7 linked regions of the Macaca fascicularis genome follow. The protein of the gene in region 1 interacts with the protein of each later gene in a pairwise test. Links are inferred from orthologs where the notes say so. Each region holds a gene or a part of one and is shown in the gene's direction. Other genes may lie near its edges.

Region 1 (4,266 bases):
TTTGGGGTTTCAGTGGAGTGAAAGCAGTAATTTGTCTTACCGGCAAAATGAGTAAATCTATAGAAGTTAATGTATTTATGTATAAACAACCAAAGCACTTTGCTCTTCATTTTATATGTTCTTTTATTGACCTTTATATTTCTTTAAAAATTTTTAATTGTGATAAAATATACAAAACATAAAATTAACTGTCTTAAGCTCCCCCCCCCAGCTTTTTTTTTTTTGACAGAGTCTTGCTCTGTCACCAGGTTGGAGTGCAGTGCACAATCTCAGCTTACTGCAACCTCCGCCTCCCGAGTTCAAGCAATTCTCCTGCCGCAGCCTTCCAAGTAGCTGGGACTACAGGCGTGCCCCACCACGCCCAGCTAACTTTTTGTATTTTTAGTAGAGATGAGATTTCACTGTGTTGGCCAGGATGGACTCGATCTCTTGACCTCATGATCCACTCGCCTTGGCCTCCCAAAGTGCCGGGATTGCAGGTGTGAGCCACCACGGCCAGCCTGTCTTAAGCCCTTTTAAGTATACAGTTCAGTAGTGTTAAGTACATTCTCATTCCAGAGGGAAAGTAGGTAGAAGGTGATTGATTCATTGCTCATACCATTTTTCAGTAGGTATATCTTAAATGTATATAGTTTATCATGAAATTACATTAGACTAATAACTTTTCTGATTATGAAAACAATACACGCTCATCACAGAAAATACAGAAGAGGAAAAGAACAAATGAAAATTACCTAAAATCTTGCCATTCAGAAAATGCCCCTCTTTAAAATTTTGTGTAACTCTTTTCAGTCTTTTCACATGTAATTCTTAAATAAAATTTGGATCAGATTCTATTTTTAAATAACACCTTTATTCAGATGTAGTTCACACATCATACAATTCACCTAAAGTGTGTAATTCAGCGTTTTTTAGTATACTCAGTTGTATAACCCATAACCACAAATAAATCAACTTTTAGAAGATTTATTTGTGCCACCACTCCCCAAGAAAATCCCTGAACTTTATCAGCTGCTCCTCCTTCTTCACCCTGCTGCCCTTCTGCCCCACCCTACCTAGTCAACAACTAATCTATTTTCTGTCTCTATAGATTTGCCTGTTTTGGACATTTCATGTAAATAAAATCATGCAATATGTGGTGTTTTCTGTCTGGCTTCTTCCGCTTAGCATAATGTTTTCAAAGTTCATCCATGTTGTAACCTGTATCAATACTTCATTCCTTTTCATGGCAGAATAATATTCTGTTGTGTGGATAAATCACATTTTATTTATCCATTCATCAGTTGATGGACATTTCGATTATTTCCCATTTTTGGCTATTGTGAATAATGCTGTTATGAACATTTGTGTACAAGTTTTTGCGTGGACATATGTTTCCATTTCTCTTGGATCTGCTGGGTCATGATAACTGGTTTATTTATTTATTTTATTTTTTTAGACGGAGTCTTGCTGTGTCGCCCAGGCTGGAGTACAGTGGCATGATCTTGGCTCACTGCAAACTCCGCCTCCCAGGTTCATGCCATTCTCCTGCTTCAACCTCCCAAGTAGCTGGGACTACAGGTGCCTGCCACCACTCCCAGCTAATTTTTTGTATTTTTAGTAGAGACAGGGTTTCACCATGTTAGCCAGGATGTTCTCAATCTCCTGACCTCGTGATCTGCCCGCCTTAGCCTCCCAAAGTGCTGGGATTACAGGCGTGAGCCACCACGCCCAGCCCATATGATAACTGTTTAATCTTTTATATAGTTTTACATCTTGATTGTTTTTCACCTAACTTTATGACCATTTTTCCATGTCATTAAATAACTAAATACATGATTTTTAAATGGTTATATTATTGTATCTAAGGAGTGTGCCATATTTTTAACCATTCTCCATTTAACCATTTGAGGTCCTTCCAATTTCTCCTTAGAAAAAAATTCTTACATATGCAGTCTCCACATCTCTCATTTCCTTAAAGTAAATTTACGGAAGTAGAATTACTAAAAGGTCATTATGTTTTATGTCACTTGTCAGATGGTGTCTGGGAAGATTGCATGAATTCTCTCTCTAAACACTTCAGTGTTCTTAGCCTGTGTATGTTCAGTGGTGATTATTTAACATCAAGTGCTATAAAACAGAGCCCATGGATTTTTGAAAAGACACAGTCCCTGCCATCAAGATGCTTATGTTCACATCTAGACCAGACAGATAAATATAGATCCAAGGGTATTATATAGACAAGATTATGTACATTATGTGGAGAGGAAAAGGTAGACTGCTTAGATAAAGTAAACGCTTGCCTGCCTAGGATGAGATTCACACAGACATAATCATTGAGCAACTTTTTACGCTTAAAAGTTTTTAAAAAATTAACAAAACCAAAATGTAGGAACCAGTTAGTCTAAAGTCATAAATCATCTGGATCATTGAGTCTGAACCTTTCCCTTGTTCAGGAGACTTCTGAGGCAGCACAGTGTAGCCTGTTGGCTTTTGGGACCCGCAGACGTAGCTCTAGCTGCTTTTCAACCTGTGCTGTCTCATGGTTTCTTTAGATTGCTTGAGACATTAGCAAACCCTTTCTGTCTTGTTTCTTACTCTTTTATATTCAGAAGAGTACCACTTTAAAGATTATGAAATGAGCAAGTAGTTCAATTATATAGCTGACTCTGGGGAAAAATTGTCTAGCACTGTTCAGCATTGCCATATTGATGCTGACACTGGCATGATTTCATCTCCAGCATGACCACCGGATTCCACCCAAATGGATTGACTACTCTAGAAAGATCATTGATTTGTAAAATTGGAGATGGAAAAGCTATAGCAGATCCCCTGGCGAGCCTCTTAAGCAGATGTTATGTAGAGGCTCTGCAATACTGTTTGTTTATTTTTCACTAGTAGGAATTAAACTCTTGAGAGTAAACCATACCACCTTAAAGACTCCGTTTTCTAGTATGTCACATACATTTGTATTACATGACTCCTTCAGAAAACAATGCCTAGGTTACTGACAGAAACTGCTATTTTCGTATCCAGAAGCTGCGACTAGCAAAGGCAAACTTAAGAAAACTGAAACCTCTTTTTTCTTTGCAGCTGTAAAGATGTCTGACAAGAACCAGATAGCTGCCAGAGCCTCCCTTATTGAGCAACTGTTGTCCAAAAGGAATTTTGAGGATCTTGGCAACCACCTTACTGAGCTAGAAACAATTTATGTGACTAAGGAACATCTCCAGGAGACAGATGTGGTGAGAGCTGTATACAGAGTCCTCAAAAACTGCCCCTCTGTGGCTTTGAAAAACAAAGCCAAGTGCTTGCTATCAAAGTGGAAAGCTGTTTATAAAGAGACTCACTCCAAAGCGAGGAACAGCCCTAAATTATTTCCTGTGAGGGGTAATGAAGAAAATTCAGGACCTTCTCATGACCCAAGTCAGGATGAGACACTGGGCATCTGCAGCTCAAATTCTCTATCTTCCCAAGATGTTGCAAAACTCAGTGAAATGATTGTGCCTGAAAATAGAGCCATTCAATTGAAACCTAAGAAAGAGCATTTTGGGGATGGTGGCCCTGAATCCACTGGTAAGAGATTGAGTGAGTTGCTGGATCCCATAACACCCATGAGAACTAAATGCATAGAGCTTCTTTACGCAGCTTTAACTAGTTCTTCTGCAGATCAACCCAAAGCTGATTTGTGGCAAAACTTTGCAAGAGAAATTGAAGAGCATGTTTTTACCCTTTATTCAAAGAATATCAAAAAATATAAAACTTGCATCAGAAGCAAAGTTGCCAATTTGAAGAACCCCAAAAATTCTCACTTACAACAAAACTTGCTCTCTGGTACCATGTCTCCACGAGAATTTGCTGAAATGACTGTCATGGAGATGGCAAACAAGGAACTGAAGCAGTTGAGAGCCTCCTACACAGAATCTTGTATCCAGGAACATTACCTTCCCCAAGTAATTGATGGCACACAGACAAATAAAATAAAATGCAGACGCTGTGAGAAATACAATTGCAAAGTCACTGTAATTGACAGAGGAACACTTTTCCTTCCCAGCTGGGTGCGGAATTCAAACCCAGATGAACAAATGATGACTTATGTAATTTGTAACGAATGTGGGGAGCAGTGGTACCACAGCAAGTGGGTGTGCTTTTAACTGTAAATGAGTGTTCTCTTAACAGATAACCTGAGTGATTGATACCTTTTATTTGTACAACCCTTCTGTGCTTTTAAAAATCTTGTACACACTACTCTCTAAAACAGAAGAAGGAGGAAAGAAAGTCGTTCCT
Region 2 (3,034 bases), on another chromosome or scaffold:
GGAAATGGGCTGGGGCCTGGAGAAGGCCTCCCTTGAGTGGGAGGGGGAAGGAAGCCGGCTAGAGCAGGAGGGAGCAGGCTCGATGTGTGAACAGACAGCTGCCTGCCCGGTGGGAATCAGGAGATGGTAGTCAGGAATCTAAAGTAGTGGTTAGGCTTGGAGCTCATGGGCAGGCTCAGATGGAACCCTTCACCTCAACTTTGGCCCTGTGCCCTTTTTCCTTCAGGAGCCCCCCCATGGAACTGCAGCCCCCTGTCTCCCCTCAGCAGTCTGAGTGCAATCCTGTTGGTGCTCTGCAGGTGTGCTCCATCCTCATTTCGCATGCATGCCTGTCTTCCTTTGAGTCAGGGGCCATGAGGGAAGGTTATGTGTGTTTGGGGGTGGGGGCGGTTCCCTGTACTGAGGCCCTTTCCACCCCCCTCTCTCCTTCCTCTCACCTAGAGTCTGAGGCTCCTGCGTGGGGACCAGCGTGGGTGTGAGAAGCCTTTTTTCACTCAGCCTCATGCACCCTGTGTCTCCCTTCCAAGGAGCTGGTGGTGCAGAAAGGCTGGCGGTTGCCAGAGTACACAGTGACCCAGGAGTCCGGACCAGCCCACCGCAAAGAATTCACCATGACCTGCCGAGTGGAGCGTTTCATTGAGATTGGTAACCGGGCAGGAGGGGGTTCTCACAGCTCCTCTCCCGCAGCACTCTGGCCCCAGCCCCAGAGCAGCTCCTAGCCTCACTCTGCTACACCCCCTGCTCTCTTAGCTTTACAGTCCCTGGCTCAGCCCCTTCCTTTTAGCTTCTTGGCACCCTATCTGTCCCCTTCTTCCTGGCCGACCAGGTTCTCAGGTGCACGGGCAGGTCCTGAGTTCCCCTTTCCAGTTGACATTCTGGGGGGACCCTTAATCCAAGTATGACCTGGGTGAAAGCACTGGGTCTGTGGGGAATCATAATCCAGCAGCCCTCTCTCCACATGCAGGGAGTGGCACTTCCAAAAAATTGGCAAAGCGGAATGCGGCGGCCAAAATGCTGCTTCGAGTACACACGGTGCCTCTGGATGCCCGGGATGGCAATGAGGTGGAGCCTGATGATGACCACTTCTCCATTGTGAGTGGCTCATGTGGGCTGGGCACTGTGGCCCATCCTCCATGCCAGGGCAGGGCTCCAGGGACTTGGGTCTGTGACTCAGCAGTGAGCCTCTCTGGGTCCTAGGCCTGCTTCTGCCACACTTTTCCTACCAGACCCAGGGTTCCTGGGGCCGACTCAGCCTTGACTGTAGGCCCGCTCTGTAGCTCTGTTACTGGGATGAGGAGGGATGCTTGGCTATCTGGCCCAGGACCTGGTAGTTAGAAGGGGCCACCCAGGGATTGAGTGGGGGGAGGCAAGCTGGAGGAAGCATTCTTTGTTCTTCTCCTTTGACGTTGAATATTTCAATGCCTGGGTCCCACAGTCTCTCGCTTCATCTTTCTCACTGTTCCCATCTTGACAGGGTGTGGGCTCCCGCCTGGATGGTCTTCGAAACCGGGGCCCAGGTTGCACCTGGGATTCTCTACGAAATTCAGTGGGAGAGAAGATCCTGTCCCTCCGCAGTTGCTCCCTGGGCTCCCTGGGTGCCCTGGGCCCTGCCTGCTGCCGTGTCCTCAGTGAGCTCTCTGAGGAGCAGGCCTTCCATGTCAGCTACCTGGATATTGGTATGGCTAGCTGAGGAGTGAGCCAGGGGATGGTGGGGGCTGGACGGGAGCAAGTAGAGGGGGGTGATGATGACGTGAACGCACCCCTCCCCAGGGCTACCTCCCCACCCAACATTGCCTCCTTCCTCTCTCTTGCTCTCCAGAGGAACTGAGCCTGAGTGGACTCTGCCAGTGCCTGGTGGAACTGTCCACCCAGCCGGCCACTGTGTGTCATGGCTCTGCAACCACCAGGGAGGCAGCCCGTGGTGAGGCTGCCCGCCGTGCCCTGCAGTACCTCAAGATCATGGCAGGCAGCAAGTGAAGCCCCAGCTGGACTCATGGATGTGCACCCTTTGCTCCCTGCTCTTTCTGCCTCTGGGCTCATGTATCTGCGCAGCTCTGGTACCCTCTGTGGGTACCATCTCTACCTCTGACACAGACTGCCTGCCTTGAGGCTGAGAAGGCACAGGGCAAGGAGCCAAGGACCACAGGGCCTCAGCCAGCCCAGGATTCGTCCTCATTTTATTGGTGATGATGAATGGGAATGAAATCGGGGCTGTCTACTAGAGCCTGGAATAAATATGCTGCTTTGTAGATTTTTAAGCCTTTCTCTCGTTTCCTGAGCAGTGTGGATAGCAGAGGAGGTCACCACATGACTTTTGTGTGCCTTCCCTGAGCTCCTGTTCCAGCCATTCTCATGTTTTCCTTTCTGGTGGGAGGAGGCTGGGTGCAGTGGCCTCCTGGAATGTTGTCGGCTGCCTTGTTGGAGGGCTGGGTTTGGTGGAGAGGGAAGGGCAGTGGTTCTTGCTCTTGGGCTTCCACCCAGCCCTGTAAAGTCTCACACAGACACACATGGATTCAGAAGCCAGACAACTTTATTTGGGGGGCAAATATTGACACTTTTGGGTGTGGGCCTTGCATGCAAACATATCAAGGGATGACATGTCACTTCTTCCCAAAGCGTTGAGGGGCAGCCAGGCTCCAGAACTCGGAATTCAGCCCCTCTCCAGCCCGGGGACTCAGCCGTTCATTGCTCCAGGATCCCCGGGTATTTCTGCCAAACCTTAGGAAAGATTTGTCCTCAGGTCCCTGCAGTCTCTCTTCTCTAGCCCCCTTCCTTCTCCTCGTCCTCTGTCTCCTGCCCTTTCTACCCCCAACCCCTGCCATGCTTGTGTCCCTTTCAGACTCACCTCTGGGGCTGAAACAGGAAGGCTTGGCTCCGGCCAGGTCTCTCCATTGCCTGTAGCAGGTAGCGCAACAGTGACCCAGAGGTCTGGGCATCCTGTGGCAGGAGGGGTTCACTGTCTTCCTCCTGTGCCAAGGGGGTATCAGGGAAGGAAGATGGGCAAATACCCTGGACATGTAAGTCACAAGGGGAA
Region 3 (3,844 bases), on another chromosome or scaffold:
ACAACAGGACCTGTCTCTCACAACAAAACCCTCTCCTCTCCAGAGAACCAGACAGGAGACCACTTGCCCTCACAGTGACCTGATCTCCCTGGAGAGAAGCAGCAGCAGGCTTCTGTTCACAATTACAGGGCAAGGAATGTCGACGAGGGTGAGAATCATTCCTTGCCTCAGGGTCGACAAAAGTCACAGTGGAATTCTGCAGAGTTCAGAAAGTTTGGAGTCGCTAAGAAATTTGCTGCTGCAGACAAAAGCCACATAGGGCCTTACCATGGGCAAGGCATGAATCCGTGGGACTGCAGGTGAGTGACAGAAGAGAGACACCTGTGTCCAGGACACACTGCACAGGAACCCCAGGGACTCTCTCTCTGTCATGTTCCTGGTTATCAGGACGGCTCACCAGCTTTCTGCAGAGGCCAGCTGGACCCAGGGGAGCAACCAGTAGGAGCGAGAGCACGGCCATCAGGACAGACTACTCACAAGACCTGGCTGAGCTGATGGAACTGCTCCAGAGCCTGGCGACACCAGCACTGTTGCTTGTCACTGCTGCACCCTGCGCACAGCGGGCTCTGCAGGAGCCGGTAGTACCGGCGACGGGCATACCGGCTGTCCAGCTCCCCCTCCAGTTCCGGGTCTGTGCCCCCTTCCCCCTTCCTCTTACTCTGCATATAGACTCTCAAGAAGCACCCATACAGACGCTGGATCATCTCTTGGAAGGTTCTGGGGGTACTAAAGAACAAGACTCCGCGCAACATAGTGTGGACTTTTTCTCGCAGCCCCTGAGCACCAGTGCCCATCAGCAAGCCCAGGCGAGTCCATTTCTCCAGCAGCTCTAGGCTACGCAGGTAGGGATCCAGGCGGCTCTCCAGCAGGCCAAAAGCGTCAAGGAGCAGCAGAAGGCACTGGGGCTCATCCGTAGAGTTCTCGCATTGGGAGATGGCATTCCAGAACTCAGGGGAGATGTTGGCCTGCAGATCGTTCTGCAGCACCTCTACGAACCACTCCTCCAGGACCGAGTGCAGGCCGTGGCCCCTCAGAACCTCCACCGCCGCCCGGAGCTCCTCTTCCTTTGGCGGGACTGCACCGCTGGTCCGGGAAGACACCTGGAGCGCAGAAAACCGTGAAGCGAGGGGAACACAACATAGAGGTGGGGAGAGGCGGGGAAGGGAAGAAGCTGAGGGGTAGGCTGCAAAAACTCCGCTGCCCCCTGTCCGTGGTGTCCGGACGTTGGGCCGAAACTAGGGAAGGGCTGCCAGCGGAGCTGAACGAAATGAAGTGGAATGGCGGTGGAAAGCGGCAGGACAGGGCAGAGGCGGATGACGGACAGAGCTGTATGAACCCGAAGGTGGCCGCCCCAAAGTGCATAGGGTCCCGGAAACTCCGCGCGGGGCCGCCGCTCTCTTCCCAGGCCTCACCAGCCCCAGCGCAGCTGGCGGCACCAGGCCGGTGCTCACGGTATTCCAGGCCACTAACAACTCCTGTCCGGGCCGGGAGTCGCTGTCCCCCTCCGCCACCACAACTGCCGCCGCCATCTGCAGCCACCGGCTCCGAGATCCCCTCGGCACGGCGCAAAGCGATGACGCAAGTCTGCACGCGCAGCCATGACGCGCACAAGGCGCTCAGCGATGACGCGTAGTTCGGCGCGCCGTCAGGGAGTCGTGCGCAGGCGCGGACAGCGCTGGTTCCGCGTCGGTTGGGGTGGCGGGGCCCCGGGCGGCGTAGACCATGACCCAGCAGGGCGCGGCGCTGCAGAACTACAACAACGAGCTGGTCAAGTGTGAGCGGCGCAGCCGGGACGGGGAGGTCGGGAGGGCCGCAGGGCCGGGTTCCCGGCTCGCAGCGGGGTGCCCCTGGACCCGCCTAGTTGCGGGCATCGCGCAGCTGAGCAGAGCCCTCCGTGCCGGGGGCTGGGTGTCCGTGGCCCCGAGCCCTCGTTGGCTCGCAGGCCCCGCGCCGGGTGCTCGGGGGTGGTGCCTGACTCTGGCTTCCTCGGGTGGAAGGAGGCCCGCCCTCCGCCGCCGCGCTCCTGCCCTGGGCCCACAGCCCCGCCCCTCCTGGCCCCCCAGGCATAGAGGAGCTGTGCCAGAAGCGGGAAGAGCTGTGCCGGCAGATCCAGGAGGAGGAGGACGAGAAGCAGCGGCTGCAGAATGAGGTGAGGCAGCTGACGGAGAAGCTGGCCCGCGTCAACGAGAACCTGGCACGCAAGATTGCCTCTCGCAACGAGTTCGACCGGACCATCGCGGAGACGGAGGCCGCCTACCTCAAGGTGGAGCTCGGGAGGCCAGGCGGAGCATCAGGGGATAGCCGCGGCAGGGGTGTAGCCGCGGCAGGGCGTCAGGACCGTCTGGGGCTCCCAGCTGTGGGCAGTCTGTGCCTCGCTGACATGTCGGGCAGGAGCAGCGTGGCCAGGCCCATTGAGGAACCCAGGCTGCTGCGGGAGTGACCGTGGGGCTGTCTGGGGGACCTGGGGCATCCTGGGTCCTGGTCTTCATCCGGTTCTCGCTAGCCATGTGGTTCTTTCTGCTTAGAGTGTGAAGAGCCACGTCTTGGGCCAGTGCTAACCCAGCCTGGCTTTGAGGGTGGGGAGGAAGTGTTCTGGGTCAGATTCAGGAGGGAAGAGGGCCCTGTTACCCCGTCTGCCAGTCCCCTTGGGCTTCCGCCTTCCCCCGCACAGGATCCCTTGGCTACAGCACCCACAGCCAGGTCCCAGAACCTGAGTGTGAGGACAGCTGGGGCTTAGGAACTTCCCAGCAGGTGAACAGTAACAACTTCCTCACTTCTCTGGCCCCAGATTCTGGAGAGCTCCCAGACTTTGCTCAGCGTCCTCAAGAGGGAAGCTGGGAACCTGACCAAGGCTACAGCCTCAGACCAGAAAAGTAGCGGTGGCAGGGACAGCTGACCAGACCACGGGCAGGGCCTGCCTCTGTGCGCCCCTCACCTCAGCCCCGACAAGTCTGTCCTCAGAGCGTCTTTGTTCTTCACAGCAGCAGCTGCCTTCCCTCACTGTCCCCGGTGCCGAGAGGGGCGGCTGCCAGCCTCTACTGGCATCATTGACAAGCCAGGGCACAGCCCACCCAGGGGCTTTGTGCTCACACGGGCTGTGGGGATGGTGGGTTCCAGGTCAGCTCTGCAAAGGGCCTGTCTCTGTGGCACCCACACTCCTGCCCTGCTGGGGAGGCCCTGGTTGTCTGTGCACCATGGGGGCCCCCTCAGCTTGTCCCTCCTCAGCCAGCAGAGGCCCAGGGCAGGGGACAGGGGTTCTCCTTCACCCCAGAACCCAAACCTCAGGGCTCACCCCTGTGGCCTGTGATTATCAATAAAGATTATCTTTGTAAAGGTCCGTGCCAGCCTGCTGCTTGCCCGTGTCAACAGTGTGGGGCTGCCAGACACCTGCAGAGCCAGAGCCTGAGGCTCCCCCTTGGGAAAGGAGGGAGGAGGCGTCTGGAGTGGTCTCCCTATGACTGCCCAACTAGCCTCAGGGACACCGCTGAGGGTGCCCACCCCGCCCAGGCCAGCGCCACCCTCGGCCCTCCCCAGCAGGGCCGCTGGTCCTCTTCCCCTGACTGGCCCACAGCTCACCCTCCTCTCAGCTCTGCTCGCTCGTCCTGTTCTCTGCCACACCCTGGTGTCCAGCATAGGACCCAGCCCAGAGAGACAGCTAGGGATGCCAAGCATATCCAGCAGCTGCCTCAGACTCAGGTCTCTCTCAGCAAGGACTGGGGGGGCTTCACACCCCCTACCCCCACCAGTTCCTCCTTGCAAGTCCTGCTTGGCCTGATGACACCACTGCTGCCACCAGGCCCTGCTGCCCCTTTCCCTGGCCGCACGCCAAGCACTGGCCACCTCC
Region 4 (4,292 bases), on another chromosome or scaffold:
CTGCTTTCCTCCTATTGTTCTTCCAGGAAAGGTAAAGTGGAGCAGACCCCTGCCATTCTACATACACATCTGAGGCTGAAGAGGGGCTCTCACCATCGTCTCCACCCCAGATACCATTCAAACAGGCCAGGAGGTCACCCCCACCCCCAACCTGGAGGAAGGTAGAATGGAATCCTGAGGGCTGGGCTAGTGGCTGACAGCATTCATCTAGGACAGTCAGAAGAACCCAGAATGCAGCGGGAGCAGGACTGGGAGGGGGAGGGTCAGGCTCCCACGAAGGCTCCCTGGAGGAGGCAGTGCAAGCTGAGCCCTTAAAAGCGTTGGGATTCTGGTAAGCAGAGAGAGGGCAGGAGAGCATTCCAGTCGAGAAGACCGGCTGCAGCAAAAGCGTGAGGGTGGAAACGCTCGAGGTGATGGGTAGACCCGTACCTGCGGTTGGGAAGTGGGGCTGAGGGTGGGCTCCCAGGCCAGGACTTGGTTGCCGGGGCAAGTCGTACCGGGAGGGTTGGCCCTGAGTCAGGAAAGGCCTTGGCGGGAGCAGAGAAGGCAGTGGGCCATTTTAAGTGGCCAAGATCTGGCCCGGAAGAAACCAGACTTTTTATTTTTTTAAGGGAAGGTTGAGGTGGGAGTGGGGAAGCTAGTTCCAAGAACCCCTAGTTTGGGACTTCTGCAGGGAAGGGTCTCTTCGCCCGTGGGCAGGGGTGAAGTTCAGGCCCACTGATTACATCCATCCTTCCCGCTCCCCGCCTCCCTGCTCCCCACACACCCCAGATTCCTCTCCAGCCACAGTTTACTTTTCCGACGGATCTGGGGGTGGGTGGTAGGCTGGGGGCGGAGGAGGGAACGTTTAGATTGGAATATAATAAACTCCCTCTAGAGGGGTGGGGGTGGAGAGCGTACGGGAGACGTCGGCTGTGCCACTGTCTAGCCCCTGGCCTTGCTCCCGGCCTCAGTCTACCCATCTGTAAGCTGGGGCGGTGGGGCGAGGGGGGATCTCTACTCCCGGCTCTGCCAGCTTGAGTCGTCCGCGCCTTTAGGGACGGTGCTGGAAGCGGGGCGGGGAGGGCTCTGGCGGGAGAGGGCTGGGGGCGGAGAGCGGCGGAGGCGCCGTCGCCGGGTCAGAGTCCGCAGGGAGGCCCCCAGGCCGCTGCGCCAGGCTCCAGGCGGGGGAGGAGGCGGCGCCTCCGGGGCGGGGCTGCCGGGCGGCCTGGCTGGAGGCCCGGCGTGCGTCAGCGCAGTGAGCCCCGGAGTTTTCCACTGACGAGGAGGGCGGAGCGGCGGGCGGGGCTGGGCGCAGCCAGTCTCCCGCCGCCGCCGCCGCTGCCGGACGCGCAGAGCTAGGGGCGGCTGGACCGACGGCTGCCGGGCCGAGCGCACAGAGTCGCGGCGCTGGGGGCGTCCCCCGCCGGGACGCGGGTCGCGTCGTTTTCCTCCGCGAGCGTCCGGATTGCAGGTGAGCGCCGAAGGGCCTTGGGCCCGGCAGGACGGGACTTTGGGGAGGGGGCGTTCAGCGCGAGTGGCACTGCCGCTCCTGCCTCCTGCGGTTCTCTCCTCGGCACCCTGAGCGGGCGCGGGGGCGGGAGCTGCCCGGCTTTGACGGCGTGCCGCGGCCGGAGTCGGGGGCCGGGGGTCCGGCCAGCGGGAGTCGCAGGTTTTCTGCTCCCCTCCCCCGCCTGCCGCGGTAACCCCGAGAGAAGTCACGGCTCCCCGAGCTCTGCGCGAGTGGGGACAGAGCAGGGCTTGCGCGCGAGCGGCAAGGCGACGGGGGCGTGCGTCCGCGGGCGAGTTTCCTTTTGACCCAGTTGCCTGAGAACTTTTCAGAAGTTCCTCGCGTGGCCGGAGCAGGTGACATTTGTCGCCTTCCTCCTCGGGCTCCCCCCTCGGGGAGGCTGCGGGAGCTGCGGCGTGTGCCGGGCGCCCCCGGCCGGCGGGGGTCAGGGAGGGAGTGGAGGGATGAGCGAACAGGGAGGCGCGGTGAGTCACGGACCCCGGGAGGGAGGGAGGGAGGGAGGGATTGTGTCGTAGGCTCACCTGTTTGTCAGTCGCCGTCACTCTCAGAGGCCACTGCTGTGAGTCACGGGCGCAGCTACACCGGCCACCCGCAGGCACACGTAGACTGTCTCCCACGCACTTCTCCTCCTTCCGCAGCACGTACTTCCTCCCCTTCCTCAGTTTCTCCTCCCCGGGGCCCATTCACAGGCACGCACTGTGGAGATGCCCACACCACAGCCATAGTCACACACTTAGTCACTCCCGCTCCTGGCACAATCACACACAGCCGTAGCCCACACTCCTGACACCAGAGAGTCCCTCCCCGTGTCCTGCTGCCCACCCAGCACCTCCACCCAGAAGTCTCAATCCTTTTGGAGAGTAACTCATCACCTCCCCCGACCCAAATCCTTGACAGCCCTGCCCTCTTCTTTCACCACATCCCAGTATCTGCCTTTCTCCTATGCCCTTGGCCTGTCCTCTCACCTGGCCCTGGCAGCACCTCCAACCGGTCACACCCCCTCCACTCCCGGTGCTGAGCCACGTTTTTAAAATGCAAATCTGGCATTGTCACTCCCTAGTTAAGCCCTCTGTGGCTTGCCGTGCCCTCAAGCTAAAGCCTGCCCTGGAGCCCAGGATCAGCCTCGCGGGCTGCCCCTCCTCCGATCACACTCTCCTGGTCCCTCCTCCTGTTCCTTACCCATACGGAGTCCCTATCTGGAACTCTGCCTACTTTCCTTCCTCAGAGAGACCTACCTTCACCCCAGCCGTACCCTGTCCCACCCTTCAGACCCTCCATCCCAGCAACCCACTCTATTTGTCCTCCCTGCTCAACTCAGAGCTTCAAGAGGGCCGCAGTTGTGTAAGTCTTGCTCCCTGCATGCGTGAGTGCCTGCCACAGTGCTTGGCACGTATTTGTTGAGCTTGGTGCCTATTTGTTGAATGAATGAATGAATGAGAGAGGGAAGAAGGCCCGTCTTAGGTGGAGGAAGCAGTCATTGTCAGGTGCAATGTCCCTTCTGCAAGAACAAGTGCCTCATGTAGCCAGCATACATTTGGCACCTATCCAGTGCCAGGTCCTGAAGGCCAAAGCTGAGGAGCCATCCCCTCCCCCAGCTCTCCTTCAGAGGGATGCTTGGGGAGGAAGTGCCAAGGCTTTCGGTCTGTCCTCTCTGGGCCACCCAGGCTGGTTTTTCAGTGGGGACTAGAGGTGCTGGGAGGTGCCCTCCCCTTCTCCCAGGAAGTTGTTCCTGAGGGACAGGGGTCATGTGACCCCAAGTGTTTTGGGGGGACTGGCCAAGGCCTGGGGCTCAGAGGTTAAAGGACACATTCTTCAGATTCCTGAAGGGGGATGGAGGCAGCTAAAGGTGCCCCCTCCCTAAGACTGGCTTGGGCTGAGGCCTGGGGCACTGGTGGGACTGCCGAGGTGGACAGAGGAGTTGCTGCAACTTTTTCAAGCCCCGCCCCCACTTCTCGAAAACAGCCCTTGGTTGCTTGGTGCCCAGGGGTGAGGTGGCCTTTCCTGGATTCGCATAGTGTGACCTGAGTGTGTGGATAACCGTGGCCAGTTGAGTGGGGGGTTGTCAGTGCCTGTGTGTGGTGGCAGGAGGGCTGCCCAATTGTCAGGGCTCAGATCCCAGAAGAAGCCTGGCTCTCTGATTCAGGGCCTGTCTCTGGGGTTCCTCGGCGGTGAGGTATTTCTGTCCAAGCCAGCTCCTGGGAACTGCTTTTCCTTCCTCCAGGACCCTAGGGAGGGGGCTGTGCTCACCCTGGGAACACTGCCATGGTCAGAATCCTGATTCCTGGGTAGCTGCTGAGGGCCCCTCCCCCCACCTCTGACTCACTGTCTGACACTTAGATTCTCACTATCTTTCATTCCCTCTTGGCCTCTCCTTGTCTCTGGCTCAGTCTTTTTGTCTCATCTCCTGCCTCTGCCTCTTAGCCTCTGGATTCCCACGTGGAACAGAGGAACACGAGAACCAGGGGCACTTCCCCCGCCTCTCCAGAAGGAGTATCAGGGAGGAGGTAATTTCTCATTTCATTCCTGCGCTGCAGATTTGGAAGGGATTGTTCATCACTAGAACCTGCGGCAGGACTGTAGCTTCCCTGTGTCTCTGTTTCCCTGTCTGTAGCTTGGAGGTCATAACCTCCTCACCTTAAGTTCTCTTTCTGTGGACATCCCTTAGGCAGAGCCGCAGTGTGTGGCTGAGCCCGCTTTCCTGACATCTCTCTCCATCTGGTACCTCTTGGGGAACCGGGGAGCCTCCTGGGATTGCGTACATTGGCACCTGCCTGCAGCCTGA
Region 5 (4,260 bases), on another chromosome or scaffold:
TCACTTCAGGTCAGGAGTTGGAGACCAGCCTCATCAACATGGTGAAACCCCATCTTTACTAAAAATACAAAAGTTAGCCAGGCGTGGTGGCGCATGCCTATAATCCCAGCTACTCAGGAGGCTGGCTGTGGCAGGCGGACAGGATCGCTTGAGCCTGGAAGATCGCTGTGTTGGAACCGCTACACTGCAGTCTGGGTGACAGAGTTAGACTCTGTCTCAAAAAACAAAACAAAACAAAAGTTGCCTGAAGCCATGGAGCTACCATGTAGGTAGGAAGTTGTTGGGGGCAGGGATTTTCGCTGGAGCAGCCCAGGTCCAGAACCGTTTCTTTTAACCATGAGGCTGCTTCTTGAAGTCATACTGCCTCTTTTTCAGAAAGATTAGTAAAAGTTGTCTCAGTGGTCTTGTTTTTAAATCGCTCAACTCACAGATTTTATTTGTTAGTATAATTTATCACATCAGCTCTTCCTCGCTTAAAGTAAGTTGCAGATAAATTCCAAATCTGCTATACTTCATTTAAGATGAATTTAGGAACTTTTAGGTTTTTTCTTTTTTTTTGTTGGTAGGAAAAGCTAATTTATAACCTCACAAATAATTCTCCCTTGGGGTTCAACAGCAGAGCGGTACATTTCGTATCCAACCATGCACCTGAAGTCAAGACGTTAAAACGTTAAATCTCCTTTTGGTGGAAAACCAAGAACAGCCCAAGGGAAAGCGTATTTTCAGGGAAAGCTGCGATTAAATGTATCCGGATCGTCTCAGACACAGATAAGGAGACAATCACTGTTTTCTTAAGTGAATTATTGTACCGTCTGGAAGCACATTATATTATTTGAGTGGAAAGAGAACTGACAGAGGTGGAAAGCTGTTTTGAAAAAAAATTGAAACGTGTAGATAACGTCTTTTCTCTTCATGTTTTGATTGCGCTGTGTTGACGGACTGTGTGGGGTTTAATAATTAGGGAAAAACTCTCCTTCACCCCATCCAATCCCCGATAACAATTTGAGGATTTTAAAAATCGCCTTTCCGTATCTTCCTCTCTTCTCTCCACTATTACGCATTCCTTTAGAGTTTCCAAGATCCTCGAGACTTGTAGTAAACTACCTTCCTACACATTCGTAGGTATCTTGCAGCTCCCTAACCAGTGATTTTGTTTTATTTTATTTTATATATTTATTTATTTATTTTTTTTTTAATGAAAGGAAAATGCCTTGGAGATCGCGCGTTTCCAAAGTGCGTTTTCTCTCCCAGGCGGGTTATGGCCCTATCGGGCCGCCGTAGCCGGTCCGCGCGTGCCCAGTCTTGGCGAGGAGTCGCGGTAGGTCGGCGGGACTTCCGTGTTGGCGGGATTCTGAAAGCTGCCATGGCTCAGACCGTGCAGAATGTTACATTGTCGCTCACTCTGCCCATCACGTGCCACATTTGCTTGGGGAAGGTAATGGGTGATTGTGGGCACAGCTACAAAACGGGGTTGGATATGAAGTCGCTTGCCGGGCCGAGGGCGGTCTCGTGCGGGGGCGGGGAAGGGGCGTGAGGCGCCGAGATAGGAGAAAACGCTCACCCGCGTTCTTGATGGGAGCCGCGTCCTGGGAGACTGGGGCAGTGCACCGTGATTAATGGTTTCATCTGGGCGCCTTTCGGTAGAGGGTGACAGCGGCCCGTGGTCTGCCAGGAGGGCGGCGAGACGGCCCTGCCACCGCCCGCGGCCTCACACCGGCAAGACGCCGGCCTCGCAGGAGGCCCCATCAGAAACACGTCGCAGCGATATTTAACTTCCCTGTGCAAGCTCGCGTGGCGTGTAGTGAAGCCTATTAAAACACATTTCCTGGGAGCCTCACCTCGGGCTCTTTATTCCTCCGTGTAACTAGTGTTCATCTTCTGGGGCCTATGGTGCTGTGTATTGAGTCTTTTCCATTTCCAAGACCTTTTGCCTTTTCTTATCCTGGCCTTGAGGATGACCTTTGCTCTGAATTCCTAATTTGAAAAGTAAATAGTAAGTGCCTGTGGAGGGTATTAGAATAAGAGGTGTGGCCTTTAACTCCAAGAATGGGTCAGTCAGGAGATAGAATACTCTCTCTTTGTGATGCAAGAGGTGCCTACTGTGTTTGTGAAACAAGGTAGGGAAAGTGGTTCTGACTTAGAAACGGAGCTTTGAATATTCTAATGCATTCCTCTGCTCTTTCATTTCCATTTGCGCCTCACTTTTGGTGTTTTAAAGAGCATTTCTTTACCGAATAGATCAAGAAGGGGAAAGATACAACCACCAATTTTTTTCCACCCTGAATTATTTTTACGTCTGTAGTGTGTCTGGGTGTGTGTTTACCCCCCAGCGCAGACTGAAACTACAGCCGTAGACTTAGATTTGAGAAATACAAACTTCTAGAGCAAGCATTTGAGTGCCGGCCAGTACGATCTGCCTGGGGTGATTCAAGTTCTGTGTGAATTTACTGGGTTCAAAAAGTAGAAGTAAGTCAGCATTGGAAGCAACTGATAATTCTTGATAGCAGTCAGAATGAAATGCCAATGAAATAGCAAATGTGCTGGGAGATTATGTATTGGGGATGGCTTGATCAATTTGACTGGAGAGATTAAGGATGGCCTCCTCGAGGGTGGTGTTTGAGCTGGCATTTGCTACTACTTACTGCCTGCATGCATGGCTAGGGGGAGGGAAGAAGCGATGTTTCTATTTGCCGCAGTCTGCATTTGGCTCCTGACATAAAGTCCCTGGAAATGGGTGTTAAATTCTGAGTTAATTTCCTCCAACACTAGCTTTAAAGGCTGATAAAAATATGCTTGGGAAGTAATTTTTTACACATTATACCTAGTTTCCGTTGGTTACAGGCTGTCTTTTGCAATTGTGTTGACAGTGTTCTGTCTGATTTACCAAACCTATACTTTCTGTATTTAATGAGAGTGATACCTCATAGAATATAGTGAGTGATTTGCAGACTACAGAGTGCTTTTGTATGCATATATTATTTTGTTTACTCTTCACACCAGTGCTTTAAGATAGGGCTGTTTTTCCATTTTTAAAATAAGAATACTATAGCTTAGAGTCTTTGTGGTTGAACCTGTATACTATCATTTGTGTCTTCGGAGTACTAAGGCTTTGAGTCTTCACAGTTGAACCTCTATCATTATCATCATTCGTCTTCAGATTACTTCGTAAAACACTCACCTAAGCTCATCCATGATAGCAGGCACTTTTAGTGGTTTTTTTTTTTTTTTCTGTATTGGTTAACTTTATTATAAAATAAAAATCAGATGATAAAAATAAAAAGATTAAGACTTTTTAGGCCGGGCGCGGCGGCTCACACCTGTAATCCAAGCACTTTGGGAGGCCGAGGCAGGCGGATCGCCTTAGGTCAGGAGTTTTGAGACTAGCCTGGCCAATATGGTGAAACCCCATTGCTACTAAAAATACAAAATTTGCCGGGTGTGGTGGCAGGCGCCTGTAATCCCAGTTGAGGCAGGAGAATCGCTTGAACCTGGGAGGCTGAGGTTGCAGTGAGTTGAGATCGCGCCATTACACTCCAGCCTGGGAGACAAGAGTGAGACTTTGTCTCAAAAAAAAAAAAAAAAAAAAAAAAAGAAAAGAAAAAAAAATAAGGATTTTTAAACTGGCTTCCCCATCCGCCTCCCCAGCCAGATACCACCATGGAAGCAGAAATTTCGGTGAGGGCCTGAGTTCTACATTCAGACTAGCCGGGTTCTAATCTTACCAGTCATACAACCTTTTACAAGTTACTTAACTTTTTAAATTTTTCTGAGATGGAGTTTTGCTGTTGTTGCCCGGGCTGGAGTGCAATGGCGCCATCTCTGCTCACCGCAACCTCCGCCTCCCGGATTCAAGCAATTCTCCTGCCTCAGCTTCCCGAGTAGCTGGGATTACACGCATGCGCCACCACGCTCAGCTAATTTTGTATTTTTGGAAGAAACGGGGTTTCTCCATGTGGGTCAGGCTGGTCTTGAACTCCCGACCTCAGGTGATCTGCCCGCCTCGGCCTCTGTGCACAGCCACTGTGCCCGGCTGAAGTTACTTAACTCTTTTGAGCCTGTTTCCTTATCTGTAACAGTAGAAATATGGTAATAACATGAATTCCCTATCCTTTCAGTTTTCAGAAGATTACACAAAGCATGTGCAAAGTTCAGCGTAAAGTCTGGCACATAATATTTAATAACTGTTAGCTTTTGCTGTAGCCCTTGAGGCCAGCCCTCAAACTGAGGAAACCAGCCTTTTCCAGTAATTGTTCTTCCCAG
Region 6 (3,809 bases), on another chromosome or scaffold:
AGAGACTCTCAGAAGTTAGAACAGGGTTTCCCAAACTGTGATCCCTACTCCACTGGCAGTATATGGGACTATTTTGGGGTGGCAAGTGGACAAGCCTTTTAAAAAAATTTGAATAGTAGCATATTTAGTTAATTATTAGAAAAATAGGCTGGGCATGGTGACTCACACCTGTAATCCCAGCACTTTCAGAGGCCAAGGCAGGTGGATCACTTGAGGTCAGGAGTTCAAGACTAGCCTGGCCAACATGGTGAAATCCCTTCTCTACTAAAAATACAAAAATTAGCTGGGCGTGGTGGTGGACACCTATATCCCAGCTACTCAGTATGCTGAGACAGGAGAATCACTTGAATTCAGGGGGCGGAGTTTGCAGTGAGCCAAGATCACGCCACTGCACTCCAGCCTGGGTAACAGAACAAGACTCTGTCTCGAGAAAAAAAAAAAAAAAAAGAAAAATAGCATATTAAACTTTTGGTTTCACAGATAAATTATGCTTAGAATGAGTTTTCTTTTCAAATTTAAGTTAAAAATGAGTTGATTTGAAGAAAAATAATAACATATAGTATCACAGATATGGCAACAAATCATGATAGTAGTCATGAAATCCTAGTGTTTGGGAGATGCTGATCTATAAGATACAGTCTAAACTCTCAAGGATAAGTATACTCATCTTTTGTCTTCTACCTACCATGGTAGCTTCATATTTTTCAGTTCAAGCTCCAACTATATTCAACTGCCTCATTAGTGTAGCAATTATTTACCCTTTACAATTTTGCTCAAGATACATCTTCTCCATAAAGGCTTCCTATTTGCTCCCTTCTCTTTACCATGAAAAGATGAATCTGTATTTTCTCTTTGCTATTCACTGTATCTCATTTGGCTGACATTTGGTCCTTTGTTACCAAATTATTGATCTAAAACAGCTACCTAAATAGTAGCTGTAATTTATGTTGGTAATATTTTTCTCTATACCTTGAAATGGAACACAAATACAAAATTACATATTGGTTCTTAATTTCTACTAAGAAGAAATACAATTAGCTAACAAACTATAGCTGACTCTTGAACAACTCAGGAATTAGGGGTGCTGACCCACTGTGTAGTAAAAAATCTGCATATAACTTTGGGAGAAACTTAACTAATAAACTACTGTTGACTGGAAGCCTTACTGATAACATAAACACTCATTTTACACATAATTTCATATACTATATGTATTATATACTGTATTTTTACAGTAAAGTAAGCCAGTAAAAAGAATGCATGATGGAAACCATAAGGAAGAGAAAATGTATTTACTATTCATTAATAGGAAATGGATCATCACAAAGGTCTTCATCCTTATCATGTTGAGTAGACTGAGTAAGAGGAGGAAGAGGAAGGGTTGGTTTGGTTGTCTCAGGAGTGGCAGAGGTGGCGGAAGAGGTGGAGGAGATAGAAGGGAGGCAAGAGAGGTAGGCACACTCACTTATAACATTTATTGAAAAAAACCCATATATAAGTGGACTTTCACAGTTCAAACTCTTCTTGTTCAGTGGTCAACTGTATACTTATGCATTTTTGTAATATCCTTAATTCCCTTGGACTTTCTTAACTTTAAAAATATAAAACATACACTGCTAAGGTCTTTAGGAATATAAAGTGGCATAAAAATACATGATCTTACTAATAATATCCCTAATAACATTTAATTTTAAATTATATAACATAGTAGGTCTGTAGGATAACAACTTTTACTAAATTATGTGTATTATATCAAGTGTTTAGTGTTTAATTTTTTTATGATGCAGGGAGCTATTTTTGTTGAGGACTTCATTTACTGACAGAATCATAAAATACAGCTCAGTAGGTCTTGCTGATTAAATATAATACAACAATATATTTTAAACTGTTTTGATATCTGAAACCAATAAAAATCACTCAACTCTTAGCGATGAGAAACACAGTTATAGTTAAATTATCCATATGCAGATATAAAATTGGAATTCATTTCTAGCCTCTAAATATGTACATGTAATAGTAGCAGATGATTTAGATTCAACTCTCTAATTTCAGATTTATGTTTTGGTAATTTAGTTGACAATATGTAATGGATATAATTATCAAAGATGCAAAAGATGTGTTGTAAATCAGCTAATAAAGTACTAAAAGAGTCTTCAGTGTCATTAAAAAATACCAGTTTCTGGTTCTTGATGATTTTAAGGGCATAAAATATTTTTCTATTGTGATTAAAGGAAGTAAAATTATTTCTAACAGAATGAATGGCAGATGTGGAGCTATTCTTGCTGATGAAATGGGTTTAGGGAAAACATTGCAATGTATTTCGCTCATCTGGACCCTGCAGTGTCAGGGACCCTATGGAGGCAAGCCAGTAATAAAGAAGACACTAATTGTCACACCTGGAAGCTTGGTGAATAATTGGAAGAAAGAATTTCAAAAGTGGCTAGGAAGTGAAAGGATCAAGATATTTACTGTTGATCAGGTAAGAAACTTGAAAATTTAGCCTTAGTCATTTAAAAAAAAAATCTAGTTTTTCAAATCAGTAATTCAGTTTTTACTTGTTAACTCCCTAACCCTTTTGCACAAAAATGGAGTCTTAGCTTACATTTTGGTTTTGAGTTGTTATGAACTGAATGTTTGTGTCCCCCAGATTCATATGTTGAAACTCTAACTTTCAGTATAACAGTATTAGGAGGTGGGCTTGGGAGGTAATTAGGTTTAGATGAGGTGGTGAGGGTAGAGCCATGTGATGAGATTAGTGCCTCTGTAACAAGAGCAAGAGACACCAGAACTTCCTTTCTCTACCACGTGAGGATACAGTAAGAAAGCATTCTTCTGCAAGCCAGGAAGAGGGCTCTCACCAGAACCCAACCATGCTAGCACCCTGATCTTAGACTTTCCACCAGAACTGTGAGAAATAAGTGTCTGTTGTTTAATCCACCCAATCTATGGTATTTTGTTTATAGCAGCCTCAGTTGACTAAGACAGAAAGAGTTAACATATTCCAGTTCTTAATAAGTGACTGTCAGGAATAGGCTGCTTAAATTTGATTTCATATCATTTCTCTTCCTGATTTTTAAAATACTATCTTTTTTCCTCAGGACCACAAAGTTGAAGAATTCATCAAGTCTATATTTTATTCTGTTCTTATTATCAGTTATGAAATGTTACTTCGTTCCCTGGATCAAATTAAGAATATAAAATTTGATCTTCTAATCTGTGATGAGGGGCATCGTTTGAAGAACAGTGCCATTAAGACAACTGCAGCCCTCATTAGCCTTTCTTGTGAGAAAAGAATAATTCTAACTGGTCAGTATTCAGTTTGGGGAAGATATTTTGGAATTTTTGCCTAGTGAACATACAGCCTTGTACTATGATGCTTAACATTCAAATAACTGGTGGTATTGGATGGAATTTATACTAATAAACCTGTGTTAATTGACTCTTAGTAGGATTCTGAATCTTCAAATCCATGTGTAATTTTTTGTAGCCCAGACTTGGGGGTTTTTTAGGAATAAACACAATGATATCATGATAAGGAATTTAGGAGATCAGACTGGATTGCTTGTGCTTGGTTCCCGAGTCTGACATAGCTGTAACAACTTGGAAGCAAATTATATAGTGTCTCTGTGCCTCAGTTTTTTAAAATCTCTAAAATAGGGATGATAATACCATCTAACTTAAGTTCTCATGAGGGTCAGAGGAGTTAATCCATGTAAAGTTCTTGGAAAACCACCTGACAGGTGGTGAGTGTTTAATATAAATATCAGTTGTTTTTATATGTATGTGCTACATATGCATGGTTGATTGTT
Region 7 (4,522 bases), on another chromosome or scaffold:
CTCCAGCTTTCTTAACATCCTCCCCACACCATCTCACCATATCCATCTCCCAGCATCCATCTGCATTCAGCTAAGGGCGGGAAACTGACCTAGTGCCTGTGCTGCAGACCATTTCTGAGGTCTCCACCCATCCAAGGAGGCAGAGCCATCATTACTGTCCTCCATGCCTTCAGCAGCCCCCCTCACAGCTAAGGTACATACCACCCCTTCTGCCGCGCCCCCTTCCACTCCTGGCACCAAGGTCTTTTGCTGCTTATGTCTAAAGGGATCGCCTATATTTAACTGCCTCAGTGACCTAACCTCTTTCTTCTCATGTGCCAGATGTTAAGATGAAGGAGGAATACAACACATGCTCAAGCCTCAGCTGTTTAGTTGTTTTCACTGGGGCTCGCTTTTCTGGGACGGTATTTATTATCAGACTGGCAAGCCTAACTCCATAGGTTTACAGGAAGTAGGGATATTTTTATAAAACAATTGTGTCCTCCCCACATTTTGCTATGTTAATATTTGCCTCTAACAATTTGCAGCTGTTTCACTTTTTCCTCATTTGTCTCTAAGTTGAAGGCCTTGTTGGAGGGGACAGAGCACAGGAACAGCCTTGACAGTCTGTAATTATTGTACAAATATTTTAATAGCATATAAATAAGTATATTCCTTTTATTTTGAAACAAAAATGATCAGACACTGCCTTTTGTGTGTTTGCTGCCTGTGGCACCCTTTTTGAAAAAGACTGTTACATATTAAAATAGTGTACATACATATAAATATTACCTCTTTTGCTGTACAGTTGTGATAGAGACTGAAGATTTTATTTTTTGTGTGCTTTTTATAAGAAAAAATTAATACACTAAAGAATCTTGCTGATGTGATTGTAATGTACCTATGTAACTTATTTACTTTTGAATGTTCTTCTGTATCTTTAAACCTTTTATTAAATAAGGTTTTAAAAATTCAGAGTTGAATGCTATGTTCTCTCGGGATTTTCACCATCTGGGGTTGATGTAAGTGGGCCTTGTCTTGCTTGCAGGGAGATTACTCGACATTTTTGAGCCATAAGGATTCTCTTTTAGCAGCCTATTGTCGATGCCAGCCAGGAAAAGGAAAATAACACTAATGTTTGCCTGGCTAAAAGATGACTCAGTAGACACAGACAAACAGATGTTTACAAAAGTTTAGACAAGAAAAAGTCTAAACTCAGTATCTCACACAAAAAATGGCGCACTCCGGCTTCATTGGGATAAAATATGCAGGGTGCACAGTGTGGTCAGGGGTAACGGGAAGCCAGGGTTCTGAGGAGAGTATTTTCACGTGCAGGGTGGACTGGCTGGGCAACCCGAGTAGACAAGTCCACCATGAGGGATGCCATGACTTCCAATAGTATCATCTTAAATGCACTCCAGGATTGGGTTATTATTTTTAAAACACGGTGCTTAGCAGTATTTGTTTGCTGTTAAAATGGAAAATTATGAAAAAGGAAATGCGCCATCAGAGAAACAAATGCCCAAGCCCCTCGCTGGCACCATGGCAACCGCTCGACCCCCGCGGGCCGCCGGAGCAGGCGTGATTCGCGCCAGCTGGGGCGCCGTTGCCATGGCGACGCCCGAGCGGCTCCGCCGCGGGGGCGGGACGGGGCGGGGCTGACGCCGCTCGCGGGCTGGCCCCATCCTCCACTGCAGCAGTAACGTCGCAGCGGGTTGCGGGTAGGACTCGACGCTGGGGCAGCCGCGCAGCGCCTGAGCCGCTGCAGGCCGCCGCGGCCGCCGCTGCCCACCCTTGCCTGTGCTGTTTCCAGCCTCGCTTCTCCGGCTTTCCTGCTCCTCTGCTGCCTTCGTTTCTGGTCCTCGGCCGTCCTCGCCGCCCGCCCAGAGGAGTCCCCGCGCCCGCCAAGAGGAGTCCCCACGCCCTCCAAGAAGCCGCTCTCCGCTGGCCCGCAGCCGCCGCGACTTCGGCACAGTCTCTCCCTCTGGCTAGTCTCCCAAACGGCCGCTCCTCGCCCGCGGGAAGACCGGGCTGCGACCGCGAACGCCCGATCCTCTCCAGGAGCCGCAGCGAGCGCCCGGCGGGCACGCCCCGCGACCACACCCCGGCTGCTTTCGACCCAGCGCGCCTGCCTTCGCCGCCCGCCCTCGCTCCTTGCCCGCTGCACGACGACGCGACAGCCCGGCTGCAAGCGGCAGACCCGACCGGACCCGGACCCAGACGCAAGATGGCGACGGCCGCGTGACTTCCTCAGCGTCCCCGAGCTCAGCTCCAAGTGTACCTACGGACTGACTGGGGGGGCAGAGAAGGGCGAGATCAGGACTCTGTGTCTTTGTTAGTCGTGAATGCATGAAGCCTACCTCCCTTGGGCCTATTTGGTGGGAGTGTCTGGTATTGTTCTAAGGCCAGGAGTACGGTGAGCCACAGTCTGTTGGTAGAATTGGCGTCTTGATAGTTGAGAAAATGGCGATGACACTGTTGGAAGACTGGTGCCGGGGGATGGATGTGAACTCCCAGAGAGCTCTGTTGGTCTGGGGCATCCCAGTGAACTGTGATGAGGCTGAAATCGAAGAGACCCTCCAGGCAGCGATGCCCCAGGTCCCCTACCGAATGCTTGGGAGAATGTTCTGGAGGGAAGAAAATGCGAAAGCAGCCTTATTAGAGCTCACTGGCGCTGTCGATTACGCCGCGATCCCCAGGGAGATGCCGGGCAAAGGAGGGGTCTGGAAAGTGTTGTTTAAGCCCCCAACTTCTGATGCTGAATTTTTAGAAAGATTGCACCTCTTCCTAGCTAGAGAGGGGTGGACCGTGCAAGATGTTGCGCGTGTCCTTGGGTTTCAGAACCCTACTCCGACCCCGGGCCCAGAGATGCCAGCAGAGATGCTAAACTATATTTTGGATAATGTTATTCAGCCTCTTGTTGAGTCCATATGGTACAAGAGGCTGACACTTTTCTCGGGGAGGGACATCCCAGGGCCTGGAGAGGAAACCTTTGATCCCTGGCTGGAGCACACTAATGAGGTCCTAGAGGAGTGGCAGGTGTCCGATGTAGAAAAGAGGCGGCGGTTGATGGAGAGCCTTAGAGGCCCTGCCGCTGATGTCATTCGCATCCTCAAGTCCAACAACCCCGCGATAACCACTGCCGAATGCCTGAAGGCGCTTGAGCAGGTGTTTGGGAGCGTTGAGAGCTCTAGGGATGCCCAGATCAAATTTCTGAACACTTATCAGAACCCGGGAGAAAAATTGTCTGCTTATGTCATTCGTCTGGAGCCTCTGCTACAGAAGGTGGTAGAGAAGGGGGCCATTGATAAAGATAACGTGAACCAGGCCCGCCTAGAGCAGGTCATTGCTGGGGCCAACCACAGCGGGGCCATCCGAAGGCAGCTGTGGCTTACCGGGGCTGGGGAAGGGCCGGCCCCAAACCTCTTTCAGTTGCTGGTGCAGATCCGTGAGGAGGAAGCCAAGGAGGAGGAGGAGGAGGCTGAGGCCACCCTTCTGCAGTTAGGCCTGGAAGGGCACTTCTGAGTGCCAGAAAAGACAGCTTTAGTGCAGACCTAGATCACAGCTAGTTTTCTTGTCCCTGTGGGGGTCTTACAGATGTGTCTCTGAGTAGTAAAGGCTTAGCCCTGTTCCGTTTTGTTGTTTTTTTGGAGGGGAAGGTTAGTCAGGCCTGAGTATTCATGTAACATTCTAAAATTGTGCAAGCGAGCACCGTGAGCTGCTACAATGCAAGTGGGTCTTGCTGGCTAAAGTGCCAGGTAAAGGGTTGGTTGGACACAGCGCTTAGTGCACGCTGTCATCATGGACATCATAATCAGTTGTGAAAAACACACGAACCTCTGACACTTCCTATTCCACACTGAATGTGAAATTGCATGTGCAGATGTTTACTACGGGGCCTGGCTCACAGGAAGTGTTCAGTAAAAGTATGAACTATTAGATTACTGATAGCGCAGATAGATTTTTCTTTACCATAAATAGTTCCAGATTTATATTGATGGAAGGAAATGTGCATTTATTAGCTATTACTCAACTTTACAATGCAAACATCATATTTCTCATCTTTAAACATGTCGATCAGTTTAATTGAAAAGTATTCTGAGACTGCAAAATGGGGTGTTAAAAAAATACTGCAATTACGGAGCTGTGTAAACCAGTTTCTCATTGCATAAGATACAGATGTAAATTGCATGGAGAGGTTGATATGCACCTGTACAGTAATTCACTTCCCCATTTCAGATCTTTGTCAGAGAATAGTTCTTGTTCATACTGAGTGTTCTAAATTTGAAGTTATATATACAAATTAAAATATTTTAAAAATTCTGTTGTCTTCTCATTTTTCTGGCATGTATAAACATTTTTAGCCTAAGTAAACTCTGTCCTTTTTTCTTATGAAGACTTTGTCATTAAACCATTTATTTTACTCTTAAGCTTTGTATGATACTATGTGAATTTAAATGGCAAGTCCTTTTTTTTCCTTCCCCTCTTGCTGTCATCTTAACATTTTTTTGGTTTATTTTTTAATTTTTTAAATTTTTTATTT

What was found.
Region 2: the proteins of TCEANC (region 1) and TARBP2 interact in binary tests that used the Homo sapiens proteins (3 or more experiments, as listed by UniProt). The two-hybrid records come from large-scale screens. The link is inferred for Macaca fascicularis from reciprocal best matches to the Homo sapiens genes TCEANC and TARBP2.
Region 3: the proteins of TCEANC (region 1) and SSNA1 interact in binary tests that used the Homo sapiens proteins (3 or more experiments, as listed by UniProt). The two-hybrid records come from large-scale screens. The link is inferred for Macaca fascicularis from reciprocal best matches to the Homo sapiens genes TCEANC and SSNA1.
Region 4: the proteins of TCEANC (region 1) and CSRNP1 interact in binary tests that used the Homo sapiens proteins (3 or more experiments, as listed by UniProt). The two-hybrid records come from large-scale screens. The link is inferred for Macaca fascicularis from reciprocal best matches to the Homo sapiens genes TCEANC and CSRNP1.
Region 5: the proteins of TCEANC (region 1) and OBI1 interact in binary tests that used the Homo sapiens proteins (3 or more experiments, as listed by UniProt). The two-hybrid records come from large-scale screens. The link is inferred for Macaca fascicularis from reciprocal best matches to the Homo sapiens genes TCEANC and OBI1.
Region 6: the proteins of TCEANC (region 1) and RAD54B interact in a two-hybrid assay, tested with the Homo sapiens proteins (2 studies listed by BioGRID). The two-hybrid records come from large-scale screens. The link is inferred for Macaca fascicularis from reciprocal best matches to the Homo sapiens genes TCEANC and RAD54B.
Region 7: the proteins of TCEANC (region 1) and PNMA1 interact in binary tests that used the Homo sapiens proteins (3 or more experiments, as listed by UniProt). The two-hybrid records come from large-scale screens. The link is inferred for Macaca fascicularis from reciprocal best matches to the Homo sapiens genes TCEANC and PNMA1.

The regions. Positions count from the first base shown.
Region 1 is NC_088395.1:13,442,995-13,447,260, forward strand, and holds the start of TCEANC (transcription elongation factor A N-terminal and central domain-containing protein), read left to right. Parts: upstream 1-1,290; 5' UTR 1,291-1,370; coding exon 1,371-1,560; intron 1,561-3,072; coding exon 3,073-4,133; 3' UTR 4,134-4,266.
Region 2 is NC_088385.1:60,315,719-60,318,752, forward strand, and holds the end of TARBP2 (RISC-loading complex subunit TARBP2), read left to right. Parts: intron 1-226; coding exon 227-299; intron 300-441; exon of another isoform or gene 442-527; coding exon 528-645; intron 646-964; coding exon 965-1,092; intron 1,093-1,474; coding exon 1,475-1,676; intron 1,677-1,819; coding exon 1,820-1,977; 3' UTR 1,978-2,258; downstream 2,259-3,034. Other genes in the region: NPFF (pro-FMRFamide-related neuropeptide FF), read right to left, coding at 2,601-2,718, 2,846-3,034. UniProt on the Homo sapiens protein: Required for formation of the RNA induced silencing complex (RISC). Component of the RISC loading complex (RLC), also known as the micro-RNA (miRNA) loading complex (miRLC), which is composed of DICER1, AGO2 and TARBP2.
Region 3 is NC_088389.1:2,127,385-2,131,228, reverse strand, and holds SSNA1 (microtubule nucleation factor SSNA1), read left to right. Parts: upstream 1-1,649; 5' UTR 1,650-1,722; coding exon 1,723-1,774; intron 1,775-2,063; coding exon 2,064-2,263; intron 2,264-2,788; coding exon 2,789-2,896; 3' UTR 2,897-3,337; downstream 3,338-3,844. Other genes in the region: ANAPC2 (anaphase-promoting complex subunit 2), read right to left, coding at 478-1,100, 1,413-1,529. UniProt on the Homo sapiens protein: Microtubule-binding protein which stabilizes dynamic microtubules by slowing growth and shrinkage at both plus and minus ends and serves as a sensor of microtubule damage, protecting microtubules from the microtubule-severing enzyme SPAST.
Region 4 is NC_088376.1:101,224,936-101,229,227, reverse strand, and holds the start of CSRNP1 (cysteine/serine-rich nuclear protein 1), read left to right. Parts: upstream 1-1,299; 5' UTR 1,300-1,953; coding exon 1,954-1,974; intron 1,975-4,292. UniProt on the Homo sapiens protein: Binds to the consensus sequence 5'-AGAGTG-3' and has transcriptional activator activity. May have a tumor-suppressor function. May play a role in apoptosis.
Region 5 is NC_088391.1:69,690,964-69,695,223, reverse strand, and holds the start of OBI1 (ORC ubiquitin ligase 1), read left to right. Parts: upstream 1-1,298; 5' UTR 1,299-1,363; coding exon 1,364-1,435; intron 1,436-4,260. UniProt on the Homo sapiens protein: E3 ubiquitin ligase essential for DNA replication origin activation during S phase.
Region 6 is NC_088382.1:104,050,366-104,054,174, reverse strand, and holds part of RAD54B (DNA repair and recombination protein RAD54B), read left to right. Parts: intron 1-2,253; coding exon 2,254-2,479; intron 2,480-3,098; coding exon 3,099-3,306; intron 3,307-3,809. UniProt on the Homo sapiens protein: Involved in DNA repair and mitotic recombination. May play an active role in recombination processes in concert with other members of the RAD52 epistasis group.
Region 7 is NC_088381.1:141,640,136-141,644,657, reverse strand, and holds PNMA1 (paraneoplastic antigen Ma1), read left to right. Parts: upstream 1-1,677; 5' UTR 1,678-2,442; coding exon 2,443-3,504; 3' UTR 3,505-4,302; downstream 4,303-4,522.